Linked DNA regions of Mus musculus. The main gene of each other region encodes a partner of the protein of the gene in region 2 in a complex. Links are inferred from orthologs where the notes say so. Each region holds a gene or a part of one and is shown on either strand. Other genes may lie near its edges. The genes, in order: Elmo1, Dock5 and Rhog.

The links.
Region 1: the proteins of Dock5 (region 2) and Elmo1 are in contact, whole or in part, in a cryo-EM structure (PDB 8JHK), measured with the Homo sapiens proteins. The link is inferred for Mus musculus from reciprocal best matches to the Homo sapiens genes DOCK5 and ELMO1. Residues at the interface, in NP_079216.4 of Homo sapiens: Met1, Ala2, Arg3, Trp4, Val14, Ala15, Ile16, Tyr17, Asn18, Ser22, Gln23, Gln30, Ile31, Gly32, Asp33, Thr34, Glu39, Tyr41, Gly43, Trp44, Arg46, Tyr48, Lys56, Ile58, Pro60, Glu61, Thr62, Tyr63, His65, Leu66; in NP_001193409.1 of Homo sapiens: Ile7, Val8, Lys9, Ala11, Tyr18, Pro19, Leu21, Glu23, Glu36, Asp39, Gly40, Ser42, Asn71, Gly72, Gln392, Asp393, Leu400, Glu401, Lys468, Arg531, Glu535, Leu536, Lys539, Leu547, Gln550, Gln551, Asn554, Arg555, Asn582, Thr688.
Region 3: the proteins of Dock5 (region 2) and Rhog are in contact, whole or in part, in a cryo-EM structure (PDB 8XM7), measured with the Homo sapiens proteins. The link is inferred for Mus musculus from reciprocal best matches to the Homo sapiens genes DOCK5 and RHOG. Residues at the interface, in NP_079216.4 of Homo sapiens: Val232, Phe345, Asn393, His394, Lys395, Gly396, Trp400; in NP_001656.2 of Homo sapiens: Ala121, Pro123, Leu126, Arg127, Arg128, Lys130.

The regions. Positions count from the first base shown.
Region 1 is NC_000079.6:20,286,007-20,289,506, reverse strand, and holds part of Elmo1 (engulfment and cell motility protein 1), read right to left. Parts: intron 2,788-3,500; coding exon 2,737-2,787; intron 1,617-2,736; coding exon 1,494-1,616; intron 1-1,493. UniProt on the Homo sapiens protein: Involved in cytoskeletal rearrangements required for phagocytosis of apoptotic cells and cell motility. Acts in association with DOCK1 and CRK. Was initially proposed to be required in complex with DOCK1 to activate Rac Rho small GTPases.
Region 2 is NC_000080.6:67,930,669-67,934,974, forward strand, and holds the start of Dock5 (dedicator of cytokinesis protein 5), read right to left. Parts: upstream 2,905-4,306; 5' UTR 2,667-2,904; coding exon 2,624-2,666; intron 1-2,623. UniProt on the Homo sapiens protein: Guanine nucleotide exchange factor (GEF) for Rho and Rac. GEF proteins activate small GTPases by exchanging bound GDP for free GTP. Along with DOCK1, mediates CRK/CRKL regulation of epithelial and endothelial cell spreading and migration on type IV collagen.
Region 3 is NC_000073.6:102,240,007-102,243,726, forward strand, and holds part of Rhog (rho-related GTP-binding protein RhoG), read right to left. Parts: intron 307-3,720; 5' UTR 239-306; coding exon 1-238.

The DNA.
Region 1 (3,500 bases), on a different chromosome or scaffold from region 2:
AATAGGAAGTAACTAAGGCCTGCTAACAGTAGGAGAAACAGTCTTCACCAGGGAGAGTTCATCAGCTAACTATCCAAGACCGACTAGTCAGCCCGGAAATCATCTCTACAAGTAATAGTATATGGACGAGCAGGTTGTATTTATGTATTTAGGAGTTCAAATACAGATACATGCAACAACACTTAAAGCAAAGGAGGCCATGAATTTGAAAGCAAGGGAGGTGGGTGTATGGGAAGGCTGGGGAGAGGGAAGGAGGAGGGCAATACTCTTTTTATGTTATAATCTAAAACATAAAACATTATAATTAAAAACTTAAATTTGCTGAGTAGAACAGGCTAGATAGAAAGCAACTAATATCTTTTTTCTGCTCATCAACTCTTTGTAGAAGAGTCAACTTAATAAAAACAGGAAGCAGAGGGGTGATTTATAGAAACCCAGAAGGGATTGGAGGGATAGGAGGAGAGCAAATATGGTTTCAGAGGGCACAGAAATTCAGTCTGGCCACATACAAGGAGGCCTGAAGATACATGCAGTGGGGTTATAACAATGTGAATGTAGTTAATGGATAAAGTGATTAATTATGTTATGCGCCATTTATTCAACGAGGGGAAGTGTTTACAAATGAAGCGTGTTGCTCCATATTAAGAGCACTGATCTCCCTCGCTCCAAGTGGCAAAACAATTGTCTTGTCTCCCTTGTACTACACCAATCTTGGTTTTCAGAGAAAAAGCACGGGGCACAATCATTGGCCTATGCAAGCCTCTCCTTCAGTCTTACTCACATGGCCTCTCAGCATGAATGGAGGGCCGCAGCAGCCACACGCCCCACATGTGCAGCTCAGCATCTGCAGCAGATCAGGCCCTCACGTGCCAATAGCGAATGTTTTCCTTTCCACAGCTGCACCACTATTTGAGTTGAAAATGTGTACAGCAGGGGCGGGGCTCCCAGCTGCTTCCTCCCTCTACCCTCCTGCAGGGAAGCTCCCCCCAAAGCCTTCTGGGTGGAAACAGAATGTTTTGTACACAGTGACAGAGGTAGCAGGGAGTTAGAAAAACTGGCCAGCCAACAAAAACACAGGCCTAGAAATGAGGGTGCACGGGAGAAAAGGACAAACTGCCTTTGGTCTTAGATACTGGAGAATGCAAACCACTCCCACTTGTAGAATCAATGCTACTCAAGGCCTTGAATGCCCTCAGCTGTATGGGAACTTGACCCCACTTAATGTAATATGGTCAAGAGCCCAGGGCTTTAACCTCAAGCTCTTAAATGTAAAGGAAAAACATGCATGCATATGGAACCTCATGGACTAGCCCTTCCATTTTATTCTCTGATCTTAGGGTCACCTAAACTTTAAAGCAATATGTCCAAGTTCTGAGATGTCAAGAAAACAATTATGGGATCATATAAGACTCCGGATTTGAGGGTAGCTAAAGGACAGACATTTGATGCACTGTCTCTGTCTCTGATTACATTTGTGTGGAGCATCCACCTACCTGGTCCTGGGGGTCCATCTTAGTCATCATCCTGTCTTCCAGAAGGTTAAAGGTCAGCACTTGGAGAACATATAACTGGTGTGCCATCTCATTGTTGATGGCCCGCTGTGCTCGGATGACATGCTAGAGACATTGTGGACAAATTACATTTTTTAAAATTATTAAAGAAAAGATTCAGAGCACAAAGTTAACCCTAGCCATGATTCTGAAGTTCTGGCATGTGAGAACTTCCTTACCCTGCAGAACCTGCACTCCAGCACAAGCCCCAAACAGTTTGTAGAGATAAGATAGCAGAAGTATTTTTATATGCAAACTAGGAGGGCTATGGCCATCTTCCCAGTGTCCCAAACACCCAAAGCCAGGTACCCTGAGACTAGACACAACCTATAAACACCGTAGCCTACAGAAAGCACCGAACTAGCCATTCCTGAACCTGAGTGTCACATGGCTGGAGTGTGTTCTCTGAAGCATCCCTTCCCTAGGAAACCATAGTGAAGGCTGTGTCCCTCATTTCCATGCAGTTCTCTTATTTCCTGGGTCTGCCCTCTTATGTAACTACCGTGCTGTGGCACATTCCGCGCTGTAGAACATACCAATCCCTTGCTGAATTTTAAGTGAGAAGCTTTCTTTCCAATGCCTTTCAAAAAGCAATGGCCTTTTGATCTGTTTTCTTCTTCATATATAAAGAAGAATTTAAAACCTATATTTCGTGTGTGTGTGCGCATGCGTGAGTTAAGCTTGCTGAACTGTAGAATTACAACATCAGATTGGGTCGTTGCTGTTTGTTAGTTTCATAAGTATTAATCTTGCTTCCTTCCAATAACTGGTGAATAGCTCGGAAAAAAACCCTTCCTAAAGGGTTCATCTCTAAACGCTGACAAGATGACTTTGCAAACTTCTTTTCCCCTGAATTTTAAGTCCCTTCTCCCAGAACCTCCCATATTTCCAACCACCTTCCTCATCAAAAAGAGCTCATACTGGTGGATTTTTTTTGAGCCAAGGAGTTTCTGATTTTCTTTGCCTGCACACCTAAGCTGAGGTGCACTAAATGTTTCCTTGCCTCGTCCAGCAGGCCGAGGCTGTGGCTGCAGCAGAGCACTGCCTGTGCCAGTTCTAAAGCATACTTCCCCTTCCTAGATTGGCCCTAGTGTTCAAACTCCAGTGTGGAACCACAGAAGAACCCACAGACACTAACTAGGACATTTCTCCCTAACATGGTGGATTCAGTGAACGGGGTACTCACTGTTAAAATGATGTAGCGCAGCTGCTTCTGAGCCAAAATATTCGCCATCTCCTGGGAAAGAAAACATGCCCACAAAGGCTTCCGTTAGAAAGGCTCACGTCAGGATGGCCAGAAGCTACCTCATCCTAGGGTGTGCTTCTCAACTGTATATCAGCAGTATTTCTTGGGAAATGGCCAATTCAAATTAATTTTTGTACATTCGGTTTGGATTATAAAATCCAGGACCAAAAGCAAAGTAGAATTTAAAAAAAAAAATGTCTGCTCTTTCTAAAAAAGAATTAAAAACGCAAACACTACAAAAGTGTCCCCACACCTCTGAGACTCTCTGTGTCTTTGATGGCTCTTATCATCATTACTTTTTTAAAACTTTATACATTTACTTATAAAGGAAGTACTGTTCAATAAGCAGGTCAACCAGAAGATGGAAAGAAAGAGTCAAAAGTCTAACGTCTGCTGAAGCCAGTCCTTTTAATCTGTACAAGCTGAAAATGAAGGGCACAGCCCCTAGATGTGGGGGAAATTATGCAAGTGAACAGAGTCCGGATTACTGAAGTCTGGATTATTGAAGGGCAGATGCTATGCAGTAGAGTTCACACCCACTTAGCAAAGCCTCTTTTCTGTATTTTGGGCTGTGGCACTTACTGACTGGTATAGAGGATTTGGGGCTAGCTTTATCAAATGGACTTGCAATAGCTAACGTCAGTTGTCAATGTGACACACCTAAGGAAAAGGGAACCTTAACTGAAGAACTGCTTCAACCAGAT
Region 2 (4,306 bases):
AGTACAATTCCATCAAAAGTCACACTTGGGAGAGCCAATGACGAGTTCTCTGGGCTTCCTTACTGAGCACGAGAAGAGCAGGTGACCCCAAAGCAACCTCAACACTAGAAAGTCTCACCCCAGCGTGGATGACCGACTCCCCCTCCCGATAAATACCCTTGCACCCTTTACGTATGTGCAATTAGGGAAGAACTAATACCCTTAGTCATGCTGGGAATGGTGGTTACATGACTTTAATCTCAGCGCTCAGGAGGCAGGTTTGAACACAGGAGTTTGAGGCCAGCCTGGTCTACAAAAGTGAGTTCCAGGATAGCTAAGGCTACCCAGAGAAGCCCTGTCTCAAAAACAAAACAAAACAAAACAAAACACCCACAAACCACTAGTCAGAAGGGGTCAGAGGGAAGGGCTGGGGTCCCAGAAGAGAAACCAGTGACCTTCCTTAACTAAGCCTTCCTACATTAACAGTCAATAAAGCTGATTTGCTTCTGGCCAGTAGCCCCAGCTGTTCTGCTGAAGAGGCTAGCAGTCTATAGCACCCGGTAGGGGAGGGGGAATAAGGCAAGAAAGAAAGTAAGGTATGATCAAGAGATTGCAGTGAAAAGCTGCAGAGGTGAAGGAAGAAAGCAGAAGGCAGAACTGAACCCCAAGGAAAAAAGGCTGGGGTGTGGGATGCAGTGTATGTGTGGGGGGAAGGGGTGTCCTGTAGATGGGGGTACAAGCACAGGAGAGTGAAGTCCCACAGAAGTGACTTTCCATAGAATACCTAACCACAGAGATGAGTGGACTGTCTACAGTGAAGAGTTCACAGAAGGGGGAGGGACTTCAGTGTGGGGACTCTGACAACTGGACCCTGCAGCCAGGTACATCTGCTTCCAAATGCAAGAGCACAGAACCCGCCCCCTCCCACGAACACTCATCCCTGACGTCAGCGCATATTCTGTGCTTCAGCATCCATACCTACCAGGATCTGCTGTGTCTAGTGAAGTAACTGCCCCAGATTACACCCTGGAACAACTCTGCTAAGCTCTGTCCCCTAGAAACACTATCCGAACACTTTCAGTGCCCACTGATAAATAACCAAAAACCTGACTCCAAAACACGGGAATACTGGAAACATTCTTACTCCCGTGCCTATGGTTACATACAGCAAACCCATCGGAAACATACTTGTTGGGAACAACTTTTAACCCAGGTAAAGTTAGAAATGACCCTTTTATAATTAGTGGTTAGTTACTGCTAAGCATATTTTAGTCATTAATTAGTACTCTATAATGTTTAAATAAATTAATTTCCTCTTGTGGTACAGAAGATGGAAGCCAGGGCTTTAGGCATGCTCTATGATTGTCACACCCAACCCTTCATCCATTTTACAGTATTTCACTTACACAATGACCAGCTACTTACTAGCAGGTATCTAGTCAAGTTACTTATCAAGGCTAAGTCAAGACCTACTGATCTGGGACTGAAGAAATGTCACCTTTCCATGTAACCCACAGCCATGTGGAGGAGCAAAAATTCTAAAAGTAAAGACAAATTAAAAAAAAAAAGGTTGAGAATTATGCATATATATATGTGTGTGTGTGTGTGTGTATATATACATATTTGCAAATGTACATATGCAGGCTTTCAATCTGCATCACATTATAATATACTAAAGACTGAAGGCGGTGTCTGAGTCCCGGTTACATAGGCACATAGGACTTCATGTCTGTCACGGCAGACTGATAATTTCAGGCAGTGTTCCTGTGGGTCCAGGACTTGAAGGAAAAGAGGTGCGCTGACAGGAGTGAAGTAAGGGGTTGCATTTCAAACGCGCCAAGTGAGTGGACCTGAGAGAAAGTGATAAAATTCCCACACAACACACTTGTTTATTCCAGAGGCTCCATTTAAAGTCTAATTCTCCTGGCAATCGTCCGGCTAAAGGTGAGTGCTTCCTCCCTGACCTGGCTCAATGAAAAGTGAAAGTGGAAAGTTTTTCCACCTGGGTCCAACCCCTCAACGCCAAGGTTTCAGATCCAAACCTAGAGGCCAGAGTTCAGCAATGACGGAGCGCTAGGGTACTGCGAACACAAACGCCACCCGCTTGCGCGGAACCTACCCTCTTCCTGCCCCTGGGGGGAAGCTGTGTCACACCTCTCCAACCACGCCAGTAGGTCAGATGGGTGTCCTCACAAACAGCCCCAGGACCCCCTTGCCCTCCTTCCCACGCCTCACACTTCCTGCCTCTTCCATCACCTCTACTGGCAACTTCGGCTTCCCATTTTGTCTTTGACTGCGATCCGGACTGCAGTCCCAGGGAGGGAGGGAGAGAGGGAAAGGGACTCTGGAGCTTCCAAGTGGGATCTGGGGAAGGGCACTCGCAAAGCGCACCGTCCCACGTGCGGCCCTCGCTGGCCACCAACGGCAGTGGGGACCTGGCGCGTTCCCACAGTGTGCGCCACTAGAGTTGGGGTTCGGATAGGGGAGGATCAGAGTCCCCAAGCCTAAAAGCACTTTTACACCAGAGCGGGCTAGACTCCCGGGGTGCAGCAGCGGGACCGAGTGGCCGAGTGTGCGCGAGCTCCGCGGGGCCAAAGTGGACTCCCGGGCGCTCGGGCGAGGGTGGGGCGGGGCAAGCACTCACCAACCCCATACTTCTGCCTCTTGGTAGGGATCCAACGGGCCATGGCGACGACCTCGCCCCGCGGCGCTAGCGGCTACAGACACTCGTGCTCGGAGCGCTGCTGCGCCGGCCGGACTCCTCCGCCATGTTCCGGCAAAACTTGGACGACTTTGGCGCGCCGGCCGCGTCTACGCCGTCCCGCCTCGCTCGCGCCCGGGGCCCCGCACGCACGCCCGCTCGCCCGCGGTCACCTGCTGGGACCGGCGGCCGTGCAGCCCCGCGCGCCCTCCCCGGCGCCGCCCGGGCTCCTCCCGCTGGCCGCGCCCTCTGCGCCCCGGGGCCGCCCGCCTCCCCCGCCGGCTCCGCCTCGCCCGGCTGGAGCCGCAGCCCGGAGCCGCCCGCCCGGTCCTCCCAGCGTCGGCTCTGCGATTGCCCAGCGCTCCCGGGCTGCTGCGCCGCCGAGCGCGGAGGAGGAGCTGGTGAGAGTCACCGGTCGCCTCCGGACGCTCAGTAAATATTTGTTGAATGAATGAGCCGTGAGCTCCCGCCTTCGCCTCCGGGAGCGTCTGCTGCAGCCCCGAGAGAGCCGGAAGCCGAGCTTCAAGGTCCGCAGAGAACTGGTGCAAGGGACACGGGCGCTTCAGAAGTAGACGTATCCAATCTAGAAGACCCTCCGTTAGGACACTGTTGACAAAGCGCTAATCCGGAAACCCCAAACTCAGGGATTTATTTCTCCTCAGTTGCAGCAACACAAACTTTCACACTAAGGGAAGAAGTTCGCTCCAAAAGGTTCCCCTTTCCAACTGACCCCCTGCCCAGAAGGCATCCTTGTGGGGAGGACCCCAGAACATCTACCACCACCACCACCACCCCACCCCCCAACTCCCACCACTGTCCTTTTTCAGCCTGGGACTGAGGACTCCAAAAGGCAGTTGTGCGTTAAACTACACAGGGGTGCGCTTGGCGCCCTCTGCCGGCGGGGAGACGCGCTTCCATCTTGGAGAGACCTCCAGAATGAAAAAGCTACTTAGTAGTAAGGACACCTCACACTTAGAAGTAAAATTTCAGACTAACCAGCCAACCAGTTAGCTTCGCCATCTGAAAAATACCTCTTGCGGGAAATTGTGTTGTTCTTGGAGTCTGTGGAGGCTTTCTTGCCGGTTTGGAACCTGACAAGAACAGAACATGTAATTAAAACACACAGTAATAGACAGTAATGCTTGATTAGAGATGAGTGAACTCTGATGACTTTTTGCAAACCATGCCTGAATATATATATATATATATTAGTCTTGGTTTTCCTCCTGAGAAAGTAAGTTCTGAACTTAAAGTCCTGGTTGAAAGAAACAATAGGTACTTATGACCGTGCTTCAGCCATCTTTCTTAAAGTGGTTCAGTCGCATCTCTTTTTTTTTAATGCCAGTTTTTATTCTTGATAGTTGAGATCTTAAAGTTGAGTATGATTACATAATGTGTCATTTATCTCCTTTGTGATTTAAAGTTACATGTTCATTGTATACTTAATACTGAATATTTAGAAAAATAAAATCACCAAAAATTCTAAGCAATAGGGAAGCAATCAACCAAACTACAAACTGAGCTACTGTACTAAGCAGTTCTCAAAAGAAGAAATTAAAAATGGCTAAGGAAACACTCTAAAAAAAGAAAGAAAAAAGTTCCAATAGGAATCTATTTATAATACAC
Region 3 (3,720 bases), on a different chromosome or scaffold from region 2:
TGACGAAGACGTTGGTCTGAGGGTAGGAAAGGGTGCGGAGGCGGTCATATTCCTCCTGGCCCGCAGTGTCCCACAGGTTTAGGTTCACGGTGCGCCCATCAACCGCACTCTGGGCGCTGTAATTGTCAAACACAGTGGGGATGTATTCCTTGGGGAAGGCGTTAGTTGTATAGCAGATGAGAAGGCACGTCTTGCCTACGGCCCCATCGCCCACCACCACACACTTGATGCTCTGCATTGTGCTGTAAAGTTACTGTCGTGGAGGCAGTGCCTCCTCTCTCTTCTGGACCCCACTGAAGTAGTGACCTGTGGAGAGATGAGAGGGACATTCATGATTTAGGAGACCTGTACCTACTGAGAAGAAAAGATGAAGACAAAAGAAAAACCACTTCTTGTTCAGTTATCCTGGTGTCATCCCTATCCCATCAAGACAAACATCAGAAAGAAGGGGAGATGCTGGGTGTGGTGGCGCACACCTTTAGTCCCAGCACTTGGGAGGCAGAAGCAGGCCTATCTCTGTGGGTTTGAGGACAGCCTGGTCTACAGAGAGAGTTCCAGGACAGCCAGAGCTGTCACACAGAGGAATCCTGTCTTGAACCCCCACCCTAAATAAACATTGAAACAAGGAGAGGTACTGAGCAAGATGTTGCAAATCTGCAGCATTATATGGGCTCTGGTACCAGCCTAATGTCGAATCCCTGTTTCTAGCAATGACAGTGGAAAAACTACTTCTTCAAACCTTAGTATTTTTACCTGTGAAATGGACATAATACCTACAGCATGTACTTATGTTATGGATTAGTCATTACTTTTAAAGCACTGAGGATAGTACCTGGTCAACTTTTGTTCTTCCTCAGTACAGGGATCTGTTAGATCATTAACGAACTACTTATGGACTCCTCTCATTAGTCTCTCAGGATTTGTTCCAAAGCCTCAAAAGTCAAAGTCAATATGCATGATGGCACCAGGGCAACCCATTGCTGGGAAGCAGAAATGATGGAACTTTGGTGCTGTGAGGCTTCAATGGACCCAACCTCTGGGACTGGTTCTCTCCCAGAACGCTCTCTTCTCGGACCAGCTGGGAGGGAAATGGTGCAACTGGATGAGGTAACTTCTCACTCCCACCAACAGGATTCCCATCTGCTGTAAACGAGTGCGTGTTCAAGCTCAGGAGAGTCAGCAGTCGTCCCTCAGAGTGGGTAGCAGATGTACATAAGGCCCTCCAGGGTAGCAGAGGGAGTCTCAAGCTGCAAGACCACAGACCTAATTCTACTGCAGCTCTCGGACTCACTGCGGCCAAGCACTGGGCACTTATCTGTCTGGGCCTCAGTTTCTCTTTTCAGGTAATGAAGTAGAAAGTCTATGACAGGGTTGGAGAGATGGCTCAGCAATTAAGAGCAGGTACTGCCTTGCAGAACACCTGAGTTCAATTCCCAGCCCCGACCCTCTCTGAGCAGCTCCATAACTGCCTGTCACTCCAGCTCCAGGGAAGCCTATTGACACTTGTATGAAAAAACATATAGACAGACAGACAGACACAAATACACATAATTAAAAAATAAATCTTAAGAAATCTACAACAAGGGCACTAGGTGAATGAAGTAAAACAAGCTAGACGGGGTAAGTTTACCAGTAATCCCAGCATTCAGGCAGCAGAGGCAGGATTATGCAAGCTTTGGACCAACCTGGTCTACCTAGTGAGTTCTAGGCCTATCAGAGATACATAATAAAAACCTGCCTCGAAACAAAAAAGACTTAGGCCTACAGAGGAAAAGATTCATAGTTCATATGTGAAATCTAAATTTAAATATATTTTAAATATGTGTGTGTATGTGTGTGTGAGAGAGAGAGAGAAGCAGAAGGGGAACTACTTGGGAAGAGGAAGGGCAATGTGTAGACAGAAGGGGTGAGGAGAGGGAATGGGGGTGACTGTGTGTATAAAATATGCACACATAGGAAAACTTCAGAATGAAATCTATTTTCTGGTATCCTAACATGGATCATTAGTTGTGTCCATTGTATTATTTGGGTCCTGGCATTTCACAGCAGAATTCCTGGGCCTGAAATCTTCAGGTCCGTTCAGAAGCGGATGAAGTGGCAGTAAGACTATGGCCCCCTCAAATCCAGCAATGGGCTGCACAGACAGGAAGGCAAGGAGGGAATGTTAGCCAGCAGTCACAGGCCCAAGAGACCAAAAGTGCAACAGGCTCTCTAGGGAGGTGGTTATCAACCAGCGATCAGTAAGTCAGCCCTCACAGGAGTGGGGAGGGAGAGTAGCTTCCAGGCTGGCACCGGAAAAGGATTATGAATGACTTAGTGTGGCATATGATCAAGAGCACCAGATACCTGAATCTGACCCACTGAGCTCACCCTGCTGACCTAGATCCTCAATAAAACACCCTAACCCTAACTGTTAAAAGTAATCTAACCTCACACAGCTACTTAGAGTATGGGAGCCAGGACACAAACTTAGCTCTGTGATCCAAAGCCCCAAGTTTTTTTCACTGTATCTGATGGCTCCCAGATAACTGTGGAGCCTTGAACAAATTAGTCATTTCCTTTACGTCAGCCTCAGTTTCTTCATCTACAGCAACAGCCATAACACTCGCCTTCCTGGCCTCATGAGGGTACAGAATGAGGGTGCATTCTACTTTGTAAATTATCTCGTGCCATGTACATTGGCAGCGACAAGAGCAAAGCCTTCCATCCCTACAGGCAATAAGCATGACATATGCGCATGTGTGAGTAGGATCTAGTTGCTCCCTACTTACTCCCAGTTCAAACTTTCCCCCTTTCCCAATACAACTATTCTCTTTTCACCTTTATTTTATTATCTTGTTGTTGTTGTTAGCATTAGTGAGGATTGAACCTAGAGCTTCACACATGCTGGGCAAGTACTTTGTCTTTGGCATGCTATCTCCAGCTGTATGGCAAGTCTTTTCCCTCAAATTCTCTGGCTGAAGTGGGTCAGATAAGCTTCCTTTAACTACTTAAACTCATGCCTGGATTCTCACTTTGTCATTCAATTGTGAGGGGTTTTAGAATCATACAGACCTGGATTTAAACTCTTTTTCCCACCACTTATCAGTTGTGTGACCCTGGACTTAGAATGAATTGCCTCGTTAATCTTCATTTTCCTTATCTCTCAATTGTGGCTACAGCAGTACTCTCTCACGGGGTTACTATAAAGCTTAAGTGCATTAATATACAGTATTGCATGATATAGGTACTTATGAGTTCCTAGCTCCCTTGCTCCAAAAGGGTCTACAAGGTGTTTGTAAAGCAAGTCTCCGTCATTCTCCTCTTCTTATCCCTTCTCCTCCTCCTTTTTCAAGACAGCTTCATTGTGTAGCCCTAGCTAGCCTGGAGTTTGTAGACCAGGCTGGCCTTGAACTCTGAGATCCACTTGCCTCTGTCTCCCAAATGCTGGGATTGAAGGTGGGCACCACACCTATCAAGTCCTACTCATTCTTGTCTCTCAGAGTTTATGCTTGTTTTCCTTTCTGTTGCTATTCCCTTTCCCCTTTCAAATCTTCCCCATTCTTCTGGGCCTAGGCTAAGTCTCACCACTCCATAAGGCTCCATAGCATCGTTACCTCTTTTAACTCTGCTTTGGCTGTGGATCTCCTTCTCTGTACATAAGTGGTAGATGCCCCCTTAAATAGCAGGCTGGGTTTCTGTCTCCTCAACCACAGAAAAGCTGTGAGTGTAGGGCTAGAC